3 linked regions of the Elephas maximus indicus genome follow. The protein of the gene in region 1 purifies or fractionates together with the protein of each later gene. This does not show direct contact. Links are inferred from orthologs where the notes say so. Each region holds a gene or a part of one and is shown in the gene's direction. Other genes may lie near its edges. The genes, in order: SRPK1, TOP2A and DROSHA.

Region 1 (7,379 bases):
CCTTATTAACACAACAAAGAAAAACCTATTCCCCAAATGGGATTACATCCACAGGTATACCAATTGCCCTTGCCATCTAGTTGATTCATGCTCATAGCGACCCTATAGGACAGAGTTGAATCACCCCATAGGGTTTCCAAGGCTGTAATCTTCATGGAAGTGGACTGCTATGTCTTTCTCCCATGAAGTGACTGGTGGGATTTTAAGCGCTGACCGGCTTGGAGCCGAGTGCTTTAACCACTGCACCACCAGCGATCCTTCTTCACAGATATAGGGGTTAGGATTTACAAGACGTATTTTTTGGGGGACACAATTCAGTCTATAACAGCTGGGTATTTATTTCCCTGCTGGGCCATGGTTATGTCCCTTTATCAAAGGGCACAGCTGCTGTCAAGCAGCCGTTTCTTAAAGCTACACCTCTCACTGGGTTCTGGTAAAGGGTCCCCTCGATCCCCTTGTTGTTTTAGTCTTAGGGGTGGTAAAGACTCCCAGCTGTTGTTTGTCCCCAGATGCCTCACCTTCCCTTGTTGGTTCCCCTTAACACTATCCACACCTCTGTGCATACTGGTAGTCCCTTCATTAAACTCTCTTCAATTATCCTTTGTGTGTGCCATGCGTTTCCTGATACTCAAGAACAGAATGTTATTATATTTTCCTAATATACTTCACCAAGCATACGGCACCTAAGAACAACAACAATATACTTCATATAACTATCCCACATGACGACAGGATAGAGTTCCGTTGGTGTTCTCCAATTTTGCAAACATCTACTTTTTTTTTTTTTTTTTTTTACTGGGAATCTTATTTTATTTGAAATAAAGCACCTGATTAATCTTTGACTGTCTTCTGTTGTCCATTTCATCCTGAAAAACGTAGGGGAAGCCAAAAGGGAAGCGCTACTTTGGATTTGGATCAATACTTTGGACAAAGTATAAGTTTGTGATAAGCAAGGCAGGGAATGTTGCGTAATGAAACGTGTCCTAAACTTCAGAAAATCAGATTTCAAAAATTCCAAAGAAGAATTAAGGAAGCTCCTAGGACAGTCTTAAAAAGTAAGTTAAGTTCAAGAAGAATGGGATCTTTTCAGACATTAAATTCTGACAATGACAGTGAGTAGCCAAAAATACAACTGCTCATGCTCTCTGAATAATTCCACATTTAAAAGGACTCGCAGAAAAGCATTTGGGGGAGAGGGAGTGTGCCAGTAGCTGAGACTGATGGCCACCACCTTTAAGAAGGGTAAAATTCTGGAAAGGTAAAACCCAGAAGTGATTTTTAAAACTACATTTTAAAGCAAGAAGCACAAAGGAATGGATGGTTTTACAGTAGGAGGGGAAAAACTTGCTTATGCGAACAATTGAAGAGATCTTAGAAAGTGTGGAGAGCTGGAAGTATGCTAAGAGGATGAAGATAAGCAGGAAAAAAAAAAAGACAAAAAAATGATCAATTCTTGGAACTCAGTCCATCGAACTTTACATTTATTCTGGAAAAATTCTCAAGTGAGTTATTAAACAGATGGTTTGTAAGCTTTTAGAGAGAGAAGTAATAGTCACTCAGAATCAGAACAGGTATGACCGGATCCCGCCGTAACCCACCTGGATTTTAGCACGGCTCTCAGGTTGTGTCTCTCTCTCTTGTCTTGATCTTTCTCATAAACTACAGATCTGAATTCCCCAATATTTGCTAGGTGTTTCCACACGGATGCTTTGGAGAAAATTTTCATTTATTCTTTGATTAGACAAATATTTGGGCTAATAAGTACCAGACACTGTACTAGGCGCTGGGAATATACCAAGGCAAAAACAGAGCTCCTATCCTCATGAAGTTTACATTCTGGTGGGTAGTGCTTTCCTGATTTGGGACTTTTCCTCAGTCACCAGCTCTCTCCTGTCTTTTCTGAGCCACATGTAGTTTTCCTGGGTTATCAGAGTCCTCAGGCTCCAGGGCTTCACCTTCTGTCCTTACTCTCCTTTTTTTTTTTTTTTTTAATTGTGCTTTAAGTGGAAGTTTACAAATCAAATCAGTGTCTCATACAAACATTTATATCCACCTTGCTATATACTCCCAGTTGCTCTCCCCCTAATGAGACAGTACACTACCTCTCCCCACTCTCTATTTTCGTGTCCATTTGGCTAGCTTCTGTCCCCCTCTGCCCTCTTACCTCCCCTCCAGACAGGAGCTACCCACATAGTCTCATGTGTCTACTTGATCCGAGAAGCTCACTCTTCACCAGTATAATTTTCTATCCCATAGTCCAGTCCAATCCCTGTCTGAAGCGCCCTTACTCTTCTTTTGTCCTCAGTTTAGGATGATGAGGAGATGGGGCTGCAGTGTTCCTTGGTCAACAGGTACTATAAAAAATCAAGCACAAATCAAGTGTGCAGGCTTGGGTGGGACTTACTGAAAAAAATAAGTAATTTAGTCCAGCCAGGGAGGAGGCAGCTTTTGAGCTGGGTCTTGGGAATATGCCCAGAAATGCTATCATGCAGGTTCTATGCAACAGATATTAATTATCTAAGTTTCAAATTTGGCAGATGTATTGTCCAGCCTCACCTTCCAATTTAGCCCTTTAGTCATTACATGCTACAGGCCCTGCCCACAAGCTTCCAAGTCTATCTTTTTGCTCAATCGATTTTCTCAGCCAGTAATGTCTGACATGTCCTTTTCCAGCTATGGAAACCTGACACATTTCCCAAGACCCAGCTCAAAAACTGCCTCCCCCCGGCTGGACTGAATTACTTATTTTGCTTAGTAAGTGCTGCCCAAGCCCCCACACTTGATTTGTGCTGTACTGTGGTCTGTGGAGCAGATCTACTCTGTCCTATAGGGTCGCTATGAGTTGGAATTGACTGGAAAGCAATGAGTTTGGAGCCCTGGTGGCCCAGTGGTTAAGAGCTACTGCTAACCAAAAGGTTGGCAGTTCAAATCCACCAGCTGCTCCTTGGAAACCCTATGGGGCAGTTCTGCTCTGTTCTGTAGGGTTGCTATCAGTCAGAATCCACTTGGCAGCAATGGGTTTTTGGTATAGCACTTAGTTTCAACTTCCTTTCTCACAGTCAATTGATTTGTCTATCTTTCCTCATTAGAGTCTAACTTCTTTTAGGTCAAGGGTCTTCATGCACCTGCATGTAATACTTCACAATAAGTGTTGACAAATTAAGGACTAGAGCTAAGAATGGTTGAAAAAAAGATCAAAGGAAGGATAACATTTCCTATGATGTGAAAATTACATGAAATTCCTATTTCAGTACCCATAAATAAAGCCAGCCTATATTTTCTACGACAGCTTTTGAGTTCCAGTGGTAGAGTTGGGTAGTTGAGAAAGAGGTCTCATGGTGTGCAAAACCTAAACGTTTACTATATGATCCTTTACAGAAAAACTTTGTGATCTGCTTTACAATAAGGGTTTGATGACTGAGTCATTTGGTCAGGATACCGAGATTATAAGTCTTAGTTTCTTTGTGTAGTGGCAGTATTAAGTATCTTGCCTTACAAGTTGTCATGAACATCAAATAAGATAATGCATTTGAGACAGTATAAAACTATAAATGAAAGACAAGTCTGTTTACAATGTACTGAAAAGACAGAAAGTGGTAAAATGAGAAAACATTAAACGTTTTTGTTCTGCCATCGCTTTCTTTCCTTTTACAGCCTTCATTTAAACTTTAAAAATTTAAGAAAAAATTCACTTTTTAAGTTTCCGTTCTTTAGGTTACAATAGGTCACAGGTAACTTCCTTTCAGTCTTTCTTTTGTGTTCCCACTTCCTGTTCTTTCTCACATGTAATTCCCTCCCCCGCCCCCATTTTCTTTAAATAGTATCTCAACTGGCCCCTACAATAGGTCAGCGAAAGAACTGGGACACGTCTGATTAATTCCATTTTACACACCAGGAAACTGAGGCACACCCCAGTTGACTGCGGAGCTCTGACTCAGCACGCAGGGAATCCTCAAGGCCGCGCTCCTCTGCGCCTTTCCTAACCCCTCTCGGCAAACGAACCGGACCCGGCCGAGCTTTCAAGCCTAGGTGGCAAACACCTCTTTAGCGCTCAAACCCGGAGCTCCCTTTTCCCTTCCTCCTCCCACTCCCGACTGCCCCCCCTTTCTCAGGAGCAGGTGGTAGAATCCACGCTCAATACGCAGGCGCGTGGCGACGTGAGGCGGGGACGGGGCGGGGACGGGGGCGGGGACTGGGGGCGGGGTGGGCGCGGGCTCGATTTTGGGCCGCGGCGGGAGCCGGAGTCGCCGCCGCTCGAGTGCGCAGGCGCCTGGCGGTTACCGGTCTCGCCATGGAGCGGAAAGGTGAGCAGTGGAGCGGCCTTCGCCACGAGGGGCAACGGCCTCCAGGGCGAGGCCCGGGTCAGAGCCCGCAGCTGCGCCTAACCGCCGTGGTTGAGTCCCCGGGCGTGCGGCGCCCCTCCACTGAGGTGGCGACGCCCCTCACCCCCCGCTGCTGGGCTGCCGGTCCGCGCCCCCCAACCGGGGCGTCCGCCCGCGCCGGCCGTCATCGCCCCTTGTTCCCCGCCAGGCCGGCCGGAGCCTTGTGGTCACCGCGGGGCCCGGCCCTCGGCGGGCGAGGCAGACCCAAGCCTGCCGGCCCCCTTAACCGGCCCAAGCCCCCTCCGGCGCCTTCCGCCTGGTCGCTGCTCTGCGCCCCGTGGGCCGCCCGCCCCCCGGCCGACCGCCTCGCTGAAGCCGCGGCTCTCGCCCCGGAGCCGTCCCCGAGGCAGGCCCCGCAGCCGGGCCTGGCAGCCCTGCTAGGTCTCCACCCTCACCTTGGTCGCCTCCTTCCCTCCACATTCGCCCTTCATCAATCCCTCTCTCCTGCAGTGCTTGCGCTCCAGGCCCGAAAGAAAAGGACCAAGGCCAAGAAGGACAAAGCCCAAAGGAAGTGAGTCTTGTACCCCAACAACCCATTCTTTGGATTGCCTCCGGCATCTCCTGTCTAGTTTCCTATCTTGAACCTGCGCCGGGTTTGGGCACCCTGCGGCCCTAGCCACATGGCCTCGGAGCGGCCTTGGAGGGTCGCTCTCCGGTGTGGAAAGGAGCTTGTCTTTCTGAACAGCAGGCCTGGGTCTGGCCTGAGCAGCCCAAGGCCTGCAGGACAGGCCACTGGAGGGAGCAGAGCCCTCCTGGGACACAACTCCAGAGAGGAAGGCACAACCTCCTGTAGCTTGGGCCTCCCACCTGGAACTGGTAGATCATTATTAGGCTATTTGTGGACTCTGGACTGTTTTCAGTACCTGCTTCCCAGCGTCTTAACTTGCCTCCAACGTCAGCACAGTAGGCCGTCAGGAAATTCTTGAATGAATTTTCCATGTTTACTTTTGGTTCTGCCAACCACACGCTCCCTTTCATAGAGGGCATGAAGCTTTCTCCTGGCTAGTCAACTTCCTGAGCCTGCAAGGCGCATCTCGGTCCTTGCGGTGTGCAGGCAGACCACTTTGTGTACACAGGTAGCATCTGTTCTCTCTGAACCTCACACGGAATGCAGATACCCTCTGGAGGGGCCCTCACATAGTGATGGGAAGGCTCTTGAGCTAACTGACACTGTAGGTGATTCTGGTTTGGTGTATTAAGTGCCACATGTCCAGTTTTATCCGCAGGATGCGTCACAGTGGTTTAGCGCTATTGTGGGAAACACAAAGTTGGTCACAGCCTACTAGAAGCACCCGATAGAGGGCTTCTGCAAGTCAGGCTTAGTCTGAAGAACTTTTACGTGTACTAATATTTCATTGGAAAAGGTCTTGGAAACCAGCTTTTAGATAACTTGTATTCTCCATCTAATTCTTAGTTGTAGCTGCATTATGTTCTTGACACTTTGCCATTTACTCGATGTCTTGTGACTTTCTTTGCATTTCTGGTTTTTAGGTAGTCTGATTCTTTCTGTGCTGATCAAACACATTTCAAAGGCCTTCCTAGGTTACCCTACTGAATGACAATACCAGACCGTGTGTGTGTGTGTGTACATAATGACTTATTTTTCAGTAGTGCTAAAATGTAGGTGATCTCACCTCTTGCTCCATTCGTTATCTGTCTTAGGAAATTTTTTATTTTGCAATGCACTTGTTGACCAGGGCATTTAAGCATGAGTTTATATATATGTGAATATATTTACCACTCGATTATCCATATATGCATTGTTCACAATCAGTGGTTAATCCTAGATCGGTTTAATGAGAAGAGTAAGGACTTAACCCAATTCTAGTGTGCAGTGGAAATTTAGATAAGTTGCTCTTTTTTTCCATGCTTTAGTTTTGCTGTTCTTTGTGGGTCTGATAGGAACGTATTATAAAAAGTTTTGTTTTCTACTTGTGTAGAGAGGTTGTGATTTTATTATTCACTGTTATTTAGAAGTTATCTGTCCTGGACTCTCTTACTACTAGGGAATTAATCTTTATTTTAGCCTAAATCAGACTATAATTAGGGAGGTAAATGTACATAGATGATCATAAACTTTATTTTTAACACCAGACTTTCATTACTTTGGATTATCTATTTAGATCATATACTTTATTTTTAAAGCCAAATAGATGAATTTTGGATTATCTGTTACTTCTTCATTCACGAGCATCAGTAACCTACTGTTATTTGTGTTCTTAATTATTTCCATACTTGCACAAAAGGAAGGGACTAGTACAGATAATCTAGTAGTCATTTTACTGAATATTTCATCTTGCACAAGTTTGACTCCTGAAAGTATATGTGAATAAACTGCCCCGTTGACTTGTAATTAGTTGTTTTTAATTTGTTTTCAAGTAGTAGTTTTCTTTATAATTTTGACTTTTTTTTCTCCAGCCTCCATTTAAGTAGCTGAAATTATTAATTAACTTGGTTAGAGTGCTATAAAGTCAGAAGTTCAAGTCCCACCAGGCTTATGTAACTTGACTCTGTTCCATGCACTCCTGATGACTTCCAGTCATTTTACAAATGAAAGCTGCTGGTTACCAGCGATTAGTCAGGGAGAGGGTCTGGGGAAGGAACATGCCATAAAGTTTGGTCTTTGGAGTGAGACCTGTCTAAATCTTGAACTCTGGTTTTGCCACTTTTTAGCAGTCTGACCTTGGACAAGTCACTTAAGGAAACAGTCTCACATATTATAACTGGTAGCTTAGTTATAATGAAAATTGATGAGGACCTAAAGATACAAAAAGCAAGCATTTAAATGAAGAATTTTGGAAGTAAAATAAAACCTGTAAGAGCCAAATTCCATGGGACTGCCTTGTTTTCTGGGTATTACAAGTTTTCCAACTTTGACTGGGCACAGTCTTACCACTTTTCTGTTGCTCATTTTAGTGGAAAATATTTGAGTTTTACTTCTCTGACAGGTTTCCGCCTTACGTAGGTTCCGGCTTTTGCGGGTTTATGTGTAACAGT
Region 2 (7,529 bases), on another chromosome or scaffold:
GGGTCTCCAGGACCCGGAGGACTTTGGCACTACCTGGCCATGAAGGGCTCTCAAGACAACCCTGGATACCCAGGGATTGAAAGGTTCCCAGGAACCCCAGAAACATCAGGCCTTCCTGGACTCCAGGGCTACCCTGTCCCTCCAAGGCTGCCAGGCCCAGGTGAGCTCTCAGGGATCCCTGGAATTCAGGAACCAGTGGGGCCTCCTGGGTCAGAGTCTCCTCCAGGACAATGAGGCCAGCCAAATCCACAGGGAAGAAGAGGCCTCCCACCCTGCCAGCCCTCTCCTCTGCCCTCCAGTTCCCTATTTCGAGCCCTCCTGAGACCTCCCTCTACACTCTTTTTTAACTCTTTTTGGGGACCTCTCACTTATCATTGAGCTTTGTAGCCATCCTTTCTCTAGGTCACCCGTCGCCACAACTAGAAGGTGAGTTACTAAAAACCAAACCTGTTACCATCAAGTTGATTCCAACTCATAGTCATAGCGACCCAATAGGACAGAGTAGAACTGCCCCATAGGGTTTCCAAGGATTTGAACGGCCGACCTTTTGGTTAGCAGCTGTAGCACTTAACCACTATGCCACCAAGGTTACTAGACATTGACAGATGCACCTTTCCTTTCCTTTACTCCTTCAGTCTCTCCCTTCCTCCTTTTCTTTAGCCATGCCCCCTCATCCTTCCCTATGCCCTTCCCACAACAAACGCTGCTCACATGTAAGACACTATGCCCTACAACTCCCTGTGTGGTCTCAGACTGGTGCATAATAGATGCACAGTAATACTTGTTGGTTCACTGAGCCTCTATTCTACCCCACCTCACACCCCACCCTACCCCTGCTTGTGTCTCAGGCTTGCCTGGTGAGAGAGGCTTGGAGGGGCTTCCTGGAGCCCCCAGCCAAAATAAAAAGGTGATCTACACTGAGGTAGGTCTCTGTGAGGGCAGAAGAGGCCAGTGTCCCCAGGCCATTGCTCGCCTACTTTATGGCCATTCCTCCCTCTTTCTCTTCCACCTCCTTTTCCCCCCCAAAACAACATCCCCAAATATGCCTTGCTAATCTCACCTCCCACTCTTGGCTTTGAGGAGGCAGTGTGAGTAGTACAACACCTAATATACCCAGAATTATGTGATCTTGAATGTGTCTCTTCTTATATGTCAGTGAATCCTATGAAAATGTCTTTCTTCTCTCTGGATAAATAATTCCAGATGCCTCCCCATACTCTCTTCTCTCTTCTGTTTGCTCAAGACTTAAGCCAGTGGCATACCCTGCCATTCTCCTCATTCCTTCACATGCTCCATCTCTTTCAAAGTGCTCTGACAGAAGGGGATACTCCGTTCTCTGCTTTCTGCTACCCCTAGTACCTCCAGTACCACCAACCCGACACCTTCTAGCTCCAGGTAGCTCCCAGGTGGCAGAAGTAGGAGGGTGTCTACAGAGGTACCCCATGACTGCCCTGTCTCTGCTTCCAGAGGATGGACTTAGCCTGGCTCCCACCTCTCTGCGGAGCTCAGATGAGACATGTCAATGTAAGAGTGCCTCACCCACCCTACCCCCACCTCACTCTCAGCTCCCATCCTGGACCCGGTTAGTCTTGGCCTCCCATCCCACTAATGGCAGAAGATCTGAGATTGGGGAACTGAAAGAAAGAAAAGGTGTTGGGGAAGGTGCCCTCTTAGTATGTTCAGAGAAGGCCTGGTCTCCCTTGGGCTGTCTCTGACTTTGGGGCAATGAGGAAAAATGGGATGGAGAGCTCACCCCTCAGTCCCATTCCCACCCTCTTCCTTTGCAGGCTAGCTCCCTCCTCTGGCCCCCAGGAGTCTTAAGTAAAGGCTCTTCTGCCCCCTACCCCCACCATGGCCTCCTGGAACTGACTCCCCCTCCTTTTTTGCCTCTCAGGGCCAGCAGCTGACAGGTACCTGGAATTGCCTCTTTGTGGGCAATGCTTCCCAAGCCCACTCTTCCCAGACTTCTATCTCCTTCTTCAAATGCTGCTGCCAAATCCTGCAAGACCCTCTGCAGTAAGTTCTGGGAAGGAGACAGGGCTGGCAGAGAAACAGCTTGGGCCCAGAAAGAAGAAGAGGGACTGGGGGAGAAAGTGTCCAAAGCAAGACCATCCTGGGCTAGCAGGAGGGAGGAGGGTTATCCTAAGTGTTTCTCTATCTCATTCAGCCATCTGTACCTTTGATAATGACATGGGGAAACTGAGATTCAGGGAAAATTCTGACACAGGACTTTACTCCAAAGTCATTTTGGCTCCACAGTTCTGTTTCTGGGTTTCTGGAACTGAAACTCACACAGTCAGTATCAGATTAGGCTTCAGGGGAGACTTTAAACTGTACCCCAGAAAAAAGGGTAGAACTGTTGCCTCAGCCACAGATGGCATGAGCTACAATGTAGAGGCCAGGAGTGGCAGAGGCTAGACTGCCATCCTTGGGGAAGCACGGTAACTTCTCCCTCCTTATTCTCCTACATGACCGTCCACCCCCACCCTCTTGGGGCCTCTGTGTTCCAGGAGTCAGAAGGCAGCATGGCTGGTCTCTGACCGGCCGGGCCATCCTGAGTCCTAGAGAAACTGCAAAGAGTGGCACTCTGCCCCTGAGCCAGGGTCTGGCCAGCTTTCTGGGCAGAAGCTACTGGATGGGCTTCTCTACAACTGCTCTGAAATTCTGGTGGTCCCTGTGCAGCAAGGTTGTCTTCCCAGATCAACACAGAGCTGAAAGTAGAAACTCCTAGAAGTCAGGCAAAAACAACAACAAACCCATTGCCACCAAGTTGATTCCAACTCATAGTGACCCCAGAGGATAGAGTAGAACCGCCCCCCCATAGGGTTTCCAAGACTAAATCTTAGTGGAAGCAGAGTGCCACATCTTTCTCCTGTGGAGTGGCTGGTAGGCTTGAACCACCAACCTCTCAGTTAACAGCTGAGCACTCTAACCACTGTGCCTCCAGGGACCCATTAGAGGTCAGGAAAAAAAAATAGGATTAGAGGAACTCCACAGCTCCATTCCTTGGCTTTCTCAATCATCCTAGCCCTGTGGGCTACTTCTGGCTTTCTCAATCATCCTAGCCCTGTGGGCTACTTCTATCCTTCGCTTCCTAACACATTGCTCCCCACCCCCACCCCCACCCCCCGAAGTGTCCCTCCTCCTTGGGCTTTGCCAGCAGAGTAAACATTGGATGCTGGCTTTGTTTAACAATGGTCGGCCTCTGGTTTCTTTTACAATGAAAAAAAAAAAGAATTAAATCCACAAATTGTCATGCCAGCCTAAGGATAATTCCTGCTTCTCATTTTGATGTTGTTAGTCTACTATTCTAAACGCCTCACATTTATCTCATGTAATCTTCACACAACTCTGAGGTAATATTATTCCCCTTTTTAGCAAAGGAAACTGAAGGACCGGCAAGCTTCCTCCATCATCACACGACTGGCAAATTGCAGATTATTACTAAGGGAGAAATAATCGGAAGGAGTTGGCTCAGATGTAATTAGTAATCATCCTAATTGTGCGGTATTTTTTTCTAACAACTTGTAAGGGCAAAAACAATGGGGGGGGGGTTCTTTTTTAACTCTGGATTGACGAAGAAAGTATAAATCCAACCATTTAATTTATAAGTCAGAATTCGTTATCAATTTGGCATTTCCTAGTCAAATTTGAACGCCAGCTCTGCACTGCAGAATTGAATTCTGAGGACAGCAAAAGTAACAAGTACTAGGGCATCCTACTGGCAGTCTAAGGAAAAGATTTCAGTTCCAGAACGACCCCTAAATTTAAAACATATCTCTGCGAGACTGGCGGTGATTTATTCCAATCTTCTTATTTATCGGTTGCAGTCCGGCGCTGCACTAGTGGGGGACTTGAAGGCTGTCCTCTATTTTGCATGGCCTCTTTACAATCTTCTGTTAGGGAAACTAAAAGCCACAAGGATAGCACACTCGTTTCTTTGCAATTAAATTCCTGGGGGGAGGGGAGGTTGAGGCAGGCTCCAGAACTTGTTCGCTTAACCAAACCACTGGACTGCCTGTCCTGAAACCCCGCGCTTAGTTTCCTCAGGAAAATGGTGCTAAAATCCCTATTTCTCTCGCTAACAATCTCTGGACGGTTTTTAGATTTAGGGGCTCTGAATAGGTTAGTGATTCCCAGAAAATAAACAGCCTTCACGTTCTCCTTTCTTTTCGCTCTGAGCCGGAACCTCAAAAAACGCCTTCCACCTTCCACACCTCGTCTCTACGGAGTTTTCCGCGCCGAGAGGAAAAAATGACTTCTCCTCATTGACCAGATTCCCTGTCTGTCTCTCCGATAACGACTTGGAGTGGTGCCTTTTTGAAACCCTCTAGTCCCGCCTCCCTTGTCTAATTGGTTCATTCGAACAGGCCCTCAAACAACTCCGCCGTTCATAGGTGAATATGAAAGACCAGTGACGATTGGTTGTTCTCGACAGAGCCGGAGAGAGAGAGTCAGGGACTGGCTTATCCGATTTGGGCGGGCTAAAGGAAGGTTCAAATGGGGCAAGGTGCGCTCTCCTAACCGACGCGGATCTGTGGAGAAGTGATCTGGTGGTTCCCGGTCGTCTCGTGGCTTCCGCCGGTTTAGTCGCTTCCAGGGTTCTCGAGCCCCTTCACGATCGTCACCATGGAGGTGTCACCACTGCAGGTACAGCTCGCGGAGGGGCCCGGTCGTGGAGCCTCAGCGCGGTTCGGGCATCTCTGGCGACCCGTGAGGGGTGAGGGCTTCTGGGCCGCGGTGCGGCCCCGCGGCGGGCGGAGAGCCCCGGCTCTCCATTAGAGCTCCCTGAAGGGTAGGGAGCCCATATTCCCTGTGGAGCCCCACTCCCTGGGCTCTGGGTGATGGTGAGTAGGGCGAGCCCCCTTTGTAGTGCTAGTATTGAAGTACTACCGGCTAAACGGGCTTCCGGGGGGAGTGTTGTGTTTTAGACTGCTTCTAGGGACCGCATTCATTTCGGTCTGTGGTAGATCTGTACTCTAGTGGTCTGCGTGTGGCGTCAAGTAGCGCATCCATGCTTTCCTCTCTCCCCTCTGTGGAAAATGGGGTTGAATGTCGCTGATCTGGGAAGATGCTGAGGATGGCACGGGGTTCCCCATCCGAGGAGCCGGCAGACCCGACACGGTGGGAGGGGAACTCAGTAAATATTTGTGTAGCTGAACGAAGTGGGTGGATTTTAGTGATGACCTAAGGCAGTGTTCAAGGAAAATGTTTCCCTTCAGATGCACCTGGTGAGATAATACGTATGTTTATTGAAATTGACGCTGGCTGCAGTTAACTGTAATGGCCGTTTTGGTACAAAACTGAACTCCACCAATGCCTGCTAGAAGTTTGCAATTTGTTATAGTGGGTTTAAGTGTATCGTTATGATGGAGATTTTTTGTTCATAGTTTCTGATAAATCAATGATTAAAAATTCCTTTTCTCCCATTGTTTGAAATTGCTAGCCTGTGAATGAAAATATGCAAATCAACAAAATAAAGAAAAATGAAGATGCTAAGAAAAGACTGTCTATCGAAAGAATCTATCAAAAGAAAACGCAATTGGAACATATTTTGCTCCGCCCGGACACCTACATTGGCTCTGTGGAATTAGTGACCCAGGTAAAATCAAGCTAATGAAAAGCAGTTATTTAGTCGTTAAAATGTGTTCTTTCGCAGATTAACTTTCTATATCTCACGTAGTTTGTCACTGGAACTGGCCTTAGCGGTCATACATCTATTGTAGTGTTAATCCAGAAGGCTATGGTAATCATGATGGTAAAGCAGAATAAAGAATAAAAATAACTATATATTTTTTTGCCTTATTTCTAGCAAATGTGGGTTTACGATGAAGATATTGGCATTAACTACAGGGAAGTCACTTTTGTTCCTGGTTTATACAAAATCTTTGATGAGATTCTAGGTGAGTAAATTTTTTCACCTAAAGATTTATAAGTCAGATCTTTCACAGGTATCATTCCTATCAAACCCTTTGTTCCAGAGCTCCTGTGATTTTGAATAGTTGGAAAAAATGGGGCCGTCTCCTGGAGCCCAGGAAATTGAATTCTTTTCTAGAAACAGTACTGTGGACAAAAATTGCTAAATTAACACCTTGTTAATGCTACTCCTGTGCTATTTGGGAAATTTTTTCTACATGTTAAAGAATGTTTTCAAAAAATACTTTTCTTACAAATGTGTATTTTATTGTCTTTCAGTCAATGCTGCGGACAACAAGCAAAGGGACCCAAAAATGTCTTGTATCAGAGTCACAATTGACCCGTATGTCTTTTTGCTTAGTCTTTTGTTATATCAAATTGTTAGTGTTATTCCTAGTTGCATTTACTTTGGCTGCTAGTGAAGTTGGCTTTTTTTTTTAAATAAAAACTTTGCAAAAAAAATCAGAACATTAAAATGAACACCTACAGTACCCACCACCTAGATCCAACAGTTATTGACATTTTGTCATATTTACTCCATCTATATATATATTTTTTGAATCATTTCAAAATAAATTGCAGATATCATGACACTTCAGCCCTAAATACTTTAGCAAGCATCTCCAGTAAATAATTTCTCTAAGTATTCTGAAGCCTAGAGTTTTAACTTTTCTTCATGATGCTATTCAAATAATGAACCAGCAGATGGTGGTAGAGAATAGGTATAAATGCTGGGTGTCCCTTAGTGGGTGGTCAGGGTACTTGTTTTACCTTTTTATTAGCCTGGTCACTTGTGAAGTAAACTACACCTTAGGCTCTTTTTGTAAGTGTTAATGATGAAGTACTTGGATACTCCCAGGAACCTGATGATTGTCTTTCAGAAAATGTTAATTGAGCTAGTTTTGGTCTCTTATAGGTAATATTATGTCTTATTTAAAATAAGAATCATAGTGTGTGCCAGTTATAACGAAAATATATCCTGTCTTCTGAGAGTTAACCTAAAATAATAGTAAGTCCAACTTTTCAGCATTTTATTGGTAAGAAGTCTCATTTATGATTGATAATGTTTTTCCCTTTTATATTTGTTTTGCACTGTGACTTTTTGGGTGTATGTCTTAGATATGTAGTGCTGCTATAATAGGAATACCACAAATGGATGGCTTTAACAAACAAATTTATTTTCTCACAGTTTAGGAGGTTAGAAGTCCCAATTCAGAGCACAGGCTCTAGGCATAGGCTTTCTCTCTGTCAGCTCTTGGGGAAGGTTCTTGTCCATTTAGCTTGTTTCCTGGTTCTTTGGAGCATCAATCTTCCACCATCTCTGCTTCTCTAGCTTGCTTGTTTGATCTCTTAATATCTCAAAAGAGATTGAGTCAAGTTACGTTATACTAATCCTGTCTCATTAACATACAAAGACAACCCATTCCCAGGTGGGATTATAACCACAGGCATAGAGGTTAGGATTTGAGGGGGACACAACACAGTTCAATCCATAACAGTGAGAACGCTAAAGGAACTAGAGTACAGGTGATCCTCTTAAAATCAGTAAAATAATATTGTTTCCAACTTTTGTCTTTTTTTTTTTTTCCATTTGGAATAAATCATTTCCCTTT
Region 3 (7,646 bases), on another chromosome or scaffold:
ATTGTTAAACTTAGCAAACAGCGGTGACATCAGGAGGAAAAAGCAAAATATATCACTGAATATATAACATCAATGATCTAATGGAGTTAGTCATCAATGGAATCAGAATTCCAGAAAATGAAGATCATGTTATTAAAAAACTAACTTGACCAGCAACAAAATACAAGCGGTGTACGAAGGTGCTCCAGGGACTGTTTCTGGTGTTTCGAGAACTTTTTGGAGGAGTTGAGGCTTATTCTGATCCCAATTGCATGGAGAGACACTTTGGAGGTAATTGTAGGGATCCAAAATAAAATAAAAGCATTCAACCAATCTAATACTCATAAAAATGAGAAAATTACCTGATTGTTGTGGTGGACGTGTCTTTGCCTACTAAAAAGTGATGTTTGCCCTCTTTAATTTGCTGAGCCCATGTGGGGTGAAGCCATATTACATGAGAAAAATGGCCGGCATAAACTGCAGGCATGATCCAATTCTCAATACTTAATTCTCTGAAAATGAAATAGAAAGAAACATTAAAACTAATAATGTGTACTTTAAAAAAAAAAATTTTCTCTATGAAAATATTTTAAGGTAACAGGTATTAAAGTGTGTCTGAGAATGCTTGGGGGTTGGGGAGAGAGGTCCCCTGAGACCTTTTCAGAGCGTCCACTAGGTCAAAACTACTTTCATGATACTATCATTTGCCCTTTGCACTGTATTGATGTTTACATTGATGGTGCAAAAGCAATGGTGGGTTACTATCTTAAGATTGACCAAGGCGGTGGCACCAAAGTCTGCCAGCAGCCATCATATTCTTCCCTACTAAACACTTACAACAACAAAACAGCCAGTTTTTCTTAAGAGTGTTCTTGATGATTTTATGAAATCTTGATCCTTGAAGTATAAACTTTTAAGTATTCTGTGTGGCAAAACTGGAAGGGCACATAAAGCACTTCTGCTACATACCTTGAAGTACAATGGCTGCCTCAAGGAAAAGCACTTGTGTGATTGACTTGTGAGCTAAACATCATTTTTTCTTGAAAGAACTGACTGACAATTATGGTTATTTAGACTCGAGTCTCGGTTGTTGGAGTCTACATTCCAAGTAACCTTTAAGAAACTACTGCTTGTTAAGTTTGGTGTAGCGCCGAAGAATATTCACAATTACCAAAAAGGGTATGAAAATACTCTTTCTAGTCACACCATCTGTGAGAGTCTAAATTTTCCTCATATACTCGTACCCTAACAACTTAGGCAACAGATTTAATGTGGAAGTCCATGAAAATCCAGCTGTCTTCTATAAAGGCAGACATTAAAGAGATCTTCAAAAATGTAAACAATGCCAGTCTTCTCATTAAATTTTTTGGTTCTAGAAAATATCTTTATTTTTCATGAAAATATATATGTGTTAACATGCAGTGGGTTTATTATTGTTATTTTGATATGAATTAATGCTTTAACATTTTCTAAGTTTTAATTTGAAATATGGTAAATACTGATAAAACCTCTATTTAAAGAGCTCAATAATTTTTAAGGGTGTAAAAGGGTCCTAAGGCCCAAAAGTTTAAGAACCATTATTCTAAGACTAAGCATACAGTTCTGCGTACCTGCCTCAGAATTCTTCCTTGAATTTCTAAAATGTAAAACCTCCAAACATATAAGAAAGCAATGACAATGGGTATAGCTAAATTTCTTTAGGAATTACACTCCAAATTGGAGTTTTGGGAAGTCAACTAAAAGAAATATAGCAGTAGCAAAATTAACTCACTCAAGCATTTATCTTTTAATTTTATAACACTGCAACATTACTGCTACTTTTTATATTATATAAGCAGATTACTTTCTATAATTATATACATGAAAGATGCTGACAGAATCTCAGGGAACTTTATTTACAGAAGCGAGGCTAGTAAGTAGTTTTTAGGTGTGATCCTTCCTGAAGAATGGAGTGCAAACTACGAAGTTTACGTCCATCTCTATGGTTCTATATAACTGAATGTCAAAAGGATCTGTAACCTGAAAAACAAACTGAGAAGTAGAAAGGGCTCAATCCTGGGAGGAAGAGTATAAAAAATTAAAAAACGTGTTGCTTATACAATTATTGAACTATGCGTTTAGATAAGATATGCTTTCTTGTACCTTGGTATCCTGACTTTTAAAAGGGAGGGAGAACTGGCTCAGATAATGTCTACTTCTAAAATTATATATTCTAAATCAAGGGTCGGCAAACTTTGGCTGGGCTACCTGTTTTTGTAAATAAAGTTGTACTGAATTACAGCCACAGTCATTTGTTTAAAGTGTCTTTGGCGGCTTTTGCATTACGAGGGCAGAGATAAACAGCTGCAACAGAGACTACATGGCTAGCAAGCCTAAAATATTTACTATTTGCCTCTTTAAGAAAAGTCTGCTCACACTGTTCTAAATAAAACCAAAAAGGCAAGTACAACAAAAACAAAATCCAGGAGCTCAGCAAAGTCTATTTTCCTTAATTCTTGCCTTATGTGCGGGAAACCTAGGTTCGATTCCCAGCCAATGCGCCTCGTGCACAGTCATCATCCATCTATCCATGGTGGAAGCTTACGTGTTGCTACGATGTTGAACAGGTTTCAGTGGAGCTTTCAGGCTGAGACACACTAGGAAGAAAGGCCTGGTGATCTACTTCTGAAAATCAGCCAATGAAAACCCTACAGATCACAATGGTTTGATTCTGGGGATCGCAGAGGATCAGGCAGCATTTTGTTCTGTTGTGCATAGGGTCATCATGAGTCGGAGGCCACATCAATGGCAGCTAAAATCACCACTTATCAGGTCGGTTATATTTGAAGTGCATAAAAGGTCATTAACAAACATCACATATTACCCAAAGAGTGTTTCCTTGTCAAACACAGTGTCTGCAGGCATATTCACAGGAATAAGGAGGTCTGGATGGGAGTCAAAATGTACAAAACATATATTACTGGCAGGAAGATGCTTTGAACCAATGGCACGGTATATAAAAGGCAGAACCTGTAAAGACACACACGCATATATTCAGAATTGGCACTGAAATCATGAGCACATATTCAACTGCAAATTGAAAATAATGCTAAACATAACTGCATAGTTTGCTAACAGCAAACGAGCTGTTAATAAATGGGGAAATACAAAATTAGTTTACTATAGATGATTGGGGAAACTATCTCAAGGCTTATTTTTTCCTGAGAACTTTCAGCTTATGCCTCCAAAGGCTTGACGAACAGCTCTAGCTGCCATCTAGCCACCACCTCAAGTTCAACAGGTAATGTGGGGAGACAGACCAGGACTGGGGCTCAGGAACAAACTGCTAGTTAATTCTGAGTTCTGACATTAACTGTGTTCAAGCTACCCTGTTTTTTCCGTTCCTTTAGGATGGTGAGGAGGGGCTAGGTGGTCTGTCAGGTTCTTTCTCCTTTTACATTTTCTGTAGTTCTAGGTTGAAAACGGAAGTTGAAAGTACAGCCTAACCCAGTTTCTCTCTTAGGCTCCTAGACACTATGTCTTGGTCCTGAGAAATCCAAATTCCTTCCTCGTCTCTAACTCCTCCATCCACAAATCCAGATAACCTTTCATGTCCAGAGAACCCCCAAAGCCTATTAATGCTGACCTTGGAAACATATCTTAGATCCATCGCCACTTTATTAGGCTTCCAGGAATCCAGATTAAGGCACTATTTTAGCTAAAGTAGCAAAGCCATAAAAGTTACCATTTTTTGTGTTTATATACGCCACGCACCGTATCAAGAGATGTATGTACACAATATGCATACGATAATACTCCTAATAGCCCCAGGAATGGTACGATTATCGTCCCTGTTTCACAGATGATGAATGTATGCACAGGGTTTGGACCATCGCATTGATTCAACACGTTAGACTGAGACCCACGTCCTTGGCATAGCGCCTCCCCTAAACAGCAGGACCGGGATGGAGAAGCCGGAGGGAGTTCCCCAGAAGCCAGCGTTAATGTGCAGGATGAGAACACCAGGCTCTGCAATCAGGCTGTCAGGGTTCGAATCCCGGGGACACCAGTGTTTGGCTGTGGGAGCCCGTGATAAACGCCAACTCCTATTCTTTCAAGTCAGCTGCTTTAGTGTCTTTCCCCACAGCCACAGAACCCGAAGGTCATCTCTCCACCTTCAGTGCTAAGGCTCTGCCTTGCACTTGTCCCCAGAGCTCCAGTGCACGGGCGGTCCTGTCCCCAAGCGCGCGGCGGCCGCCCGCTCACCTCCTGATGATCCTCCACCACCCACACCGGGAGCTCGGAGTAGCGCCGGAGGCGAACGCATTCTCCCGCGGAGTCACTCATGTTCTCGCGGCGTCAGGGTTCCCGGGGGCCAGTGCCGCTGGGCGAGGACCTGGGAAAGCCCGAGCCGCGACCGCTGCCGCCGTCTCCGGCGGAAACGCGCGCTCACCCGGTTGCGGTTCCGGATTGGAGGACAGAGAGGAGGGAGGGCGGGCGCCGGAGGGACGGACTTGGGCGATTGGCTGAAATGGCCATTGCTCTTGCTGACGCACCAATCACCGCGCCCGAGCGTTGCGGCGAGCAGAAGAGTTTCCCTCCCTTGGCCCAGCTTGCTCAGGGTTGGTATTTAATTCCGTCGGTTTCCTGTTCCGGAGGCGCGGCGGCCACACCGCCTTGGCGGCTGCAGTGTAACAGTGGCATTTATCAGACGGCGACCCTGCGGCCCGAGAGCCTTTTGTAGGTAAAAGGGGCGCCGTGTGGGTGTTGGAAGAGGGCGTGTTTCTGAGTGTCCAGATTAAAACGGGGCCGGAGTCCCCGGCTGGGGAAGAAAGGCGCCTGGAAGTTGGGGTCTGGCAGCACCTCTTTAGGTGTGTAGTGAGGGCCACAAAGCAACCCGAGGCCCGGATCTCACATATGAATGGAAGTGAACTATGAGAGCTTTCATTCATTTATGGACCGCAGGCTGTGGGCCAGGCCTGGGGTCGCCCGGGTCTTGGCGGGGAGCGGGACTTGAGCCCCGCGCTTTGCCTCTTGGGGTTCCCAGTCTGGCGGGAGATTGCAAACAGGGAAACTCGAGTTACCGAGCAGCGGGGTGAAAATGACCAGCCTGATGGTTCAGCTGGGAAACAGAAATTTCTTAAGAAAATATAGTCACCCTTTGCAATTTTTTTTTTTTTTAATCTAGAGTGATGTTCTTAGACGTGTTAACTATTCAAAACACCTCCCTCAGTTCTCTGCTTGCGAACAGCAACCCAAGAGTAGGCAGATGCAGAAAATATTGACTTTTCCACTTGCAGGGAATTCCTTGACTTTTGAGTTAACATTTGCACAGGACTGGACAGTGTTTCGTTCTGTTGTACATACAGTCGCTATGATTCGGAACCGACTTGACTGCACCTAACAACAACAGTAAAGAATGTCTGCACCTCCAGTGCTGCATCGGTTTGTTCAAACATCTCAGTTAATTCCTGGAGCCATGTTTTTTGCCAGTGCCTTCAGTGCAGTTTGGACCTTTTCCTTCGGTACTGTTAGTTCTTGATCATGTGCTACCTCCCGAAATGGTTGAACATTTCCTTTTGGTACAGTGACTTGTATTCCTTCTATTTTCTTTTGATACTTCCTGTGTTGTTCATTTTTTCGCTAGAATCCTTCAGTACTGCAACTCGAGACTTGAATTTTTCTTCAGTTCTTTCAGCTTGAGAAATGCCAATCATGTTCTTTCTTTTTGGTTTTCTAACTCCAGGTCTTTGGGTATTTCATTATACTTTATTTTGTGTTTCCAGCTGCCCTTTGAAACCTGTTCAGCTCTTTTATGTCATCATTTCTTCAGTTTCAGAGTCTCTTTTAACATCCATTTTGGTCTTTTCTTTCTTTCCTGTCTTTTTAATAACCTTTTGTTTTCTTCATGTTCGAGGTCCTTGTCATCCCACAATTCGTCTGGTCTTCGGTCATTAGTGTTCAGTGTGTCAAATCTACTCTGGACATGGTCTCTAAATTCAGGTGGGATATACCGCAGGTCATATTTTGGCTCTCATGGACTTGTTTTAATTTTCTTCAGCTTCAACTTCTATTTGTAAATGAGCAATTGATGTGTTCCGCCTTCTTCTGACTCATGATATTGAGCTTTTCCATCGTCTCTTTCCATAGATGTAGTTGAGTTGATTCCTCTGCATTCCACCCAGCAAGCTCCAGTATAGTTGCTGTTTATGTTGTTTAAAAAAGGTACTTGCAATAAAGTTGTTGGTCTTAAAAAATTCTATCATGTGATCTCTGGTGTTGTTTCTATCACCTAGGCTATGTTTTCCAACTACCAATTCTTATTGTCCAACTTTGACATTCCAGTCACCTGTAATTATCAGTGTATCTTGATTGCATGTTTGATCAATTTCAGACTGCAAAAGTTGGTAAAAATCTTCAATTTCTTCATCTCTGGCCTTAGTGGTTGGTGTGTAAATTTGAATAATAGTCGTATTAACTGATCTTCCTTGTAGGCATGTGGATATCTTCCTATCACTGACAGCGTTGTACTTTAGGGTACATCTTGAAATATTCTGTTTGATGATAAATGGGACACTATTCTTCTTCAAGTTGTCATTCCTGGCATGGTAATGCATATGATTGTTCAGATCAAAATGGCCAATATCAGTCAATTTCAGCTCAGGAATGCCTATGATATTGATCTTTGTGTGTTCCAATTAATTTTTGATGACTTACAATTTTCTTAGATTCATACTTTGTAAATTCCACATTCTGATTATTATTGGATATTTGCAGCTGTTTCTTCTCATTTTGAGATATGCCACATCGGCAAATGAAGGTCCCAGAAGTTTTACTCCCATCCCTGTCATTAAGGGCGATTCTACTTTGAGTGGCAGCTCTTCCCCAGTTGTGTTTTGTGTGCCTTCCAACCTCAGGGGTTCATCTTCTGGCATTGTATCAGACAGTGTTCCGCTACTGTTCATAAGGTTTTTACTGGCCAGTCTTTTCAGAAGTAGATTGTAAGATCCTTCTTCCTATCTTTCTTAGTTTGGAAGTTCTGCTGAAACTTGTCCACCATGGGTGACCCTGCTGGTATTTGAAACACTGGTGGCATAGCTTCCAGCATCACAGCAACATGCAAGCCACTACGGTACAACAAGCTGACAGATGAGTGACGGTGGCAGTTTGTAGCACACTTATATGTGTGTTTTATTCTTTTTGTCCCTTAGAGTTTATATCACTGTGGAAGATGTGAATATCCAGGCAGTACATCATGATGCAAGGCAATACATGGTGAGTAATGGCAGTAGCTTGAAAGAATGCAGAGAGGAGCAAACGCCGGAGCTGAGCCATAGTAGGTTGAATGGATTTGAACATGTGCGGAGCAAGGGAAATGTGTTCATTCTTTCAGCAATGGGCCATGTACATGGCTAGGAACCCAACCAGACCAGTTAATGAGATATCCTGGATCCCTGCCCTGACAGGACTTGCAGTCCTGAGGTGCAGCCTGACTTTAAAGATAGAATTACATAATTAGTTGGTAGATTCCATTATTGTAGGAATTCCGAGAAGAAGTAGAGTATCTTGAGAGCAGGGAAGGCCTTGAGGGCATTGATGGTAGTTGTGGAAAGGCCAGCAAAGATGTTATTGTAGTAGCCAGATAAGAGATGGTGGTGTGAAATGAATGAATTCAAAAAATACTTACG

Evidence for each region.
Region 2: the proteins of SRPK1 (region 1) and TOP2A fractionate together in Homo sapiens (co-fractionation; 3 studies listed by BioGRID and IntAct, with this or other methods). This does not show direct contact. The link is inferred for Elephas maximus indicus from reciprocal best matches to the Homo sapiens genes SRPK1 and TOP2A.
Region 3: the proteins of SRPK1 (region 1) and DROSHA purify together in Homo sapiens (affinity purification with mass spectrometry; 3 studies listed by BioGRID and IntAct, counting the BioPlex papers as one, with this or other methods). This does not show direct contact. The link is inferred for Elephas maximus indicus from reciprocal best matches to the Homo sapiens genes SRPK1 and DROSHA.

The regions. Positions count from the first base shown.
Region 1 is NC_064819.1:99,573,650-99,581,028, reverse strand, and holds the start of SRPK1 (SRSF protein kinase 1), read left to right. Parts: upstream 1-4,276; 5' UTR 4,277-4,291; coding exon 4,292-4,893; intron 4,894-7,379. UniProt on the Homo sapiens protein: Serine/arginine-rich protein-specific kinase which specifically phosphorylates its substrates at serine residues located in regions rich in arginine/serine dipeptides, known as RS domains and is involved in the phosphorylation of SR splicing factors and the regulation of splicing.
Region 2 is NC_064837.1:47,551,359-47,558,887, reverse strand, and holds the start of TOP2A (DNA topoisomerase 2-alpha), read left to right. Parts: upstream 1-4,515; 5' UTR 4,516-4,629; coding exon 4,630-4,650; intron 4,651-5,446; coding exon 5,447-5,602; intron 5,603-5,812; coding exon 5,813-5,903; intron 5,904-6,195; coding exon 6,196-6,259; intron 6,260-7,529. UniProt on the Homo sapiens protein: Key decatenating enzyme that alters DNA topology by binding to two double-stranded DNA molecules, generating a double-stranded break in one of the strands, passing the intact strand through the broken strand, and religating the broken strand.
Region 3 is NC_064820.1:36,627,668-36,635,313, reverse strand, and holds the start of DROSHA (ribonuclease 3), read left to right. Parts: upstream 1-4,622; 5' UTR 4,623-4,698; exon of another isoform or gene 4,699-4,702; intron 4,703-7,169; 5' UTR 7,170-7,213; coding exon 7,214-7,233; intron 7,234-7,646. Other genes in the region: C2H5orf22 (UPF0489 protein C5orf22 homolog), read right to left, coding at 342-491, 2,843-2,988, 4,225-4,305. UniProt on the Homo sapiens protein: Ribonuclease III double-stranded (ds) RNA-specific endoribonuclease that is involved in the initial step of microRNA (miRNA) biogenesis.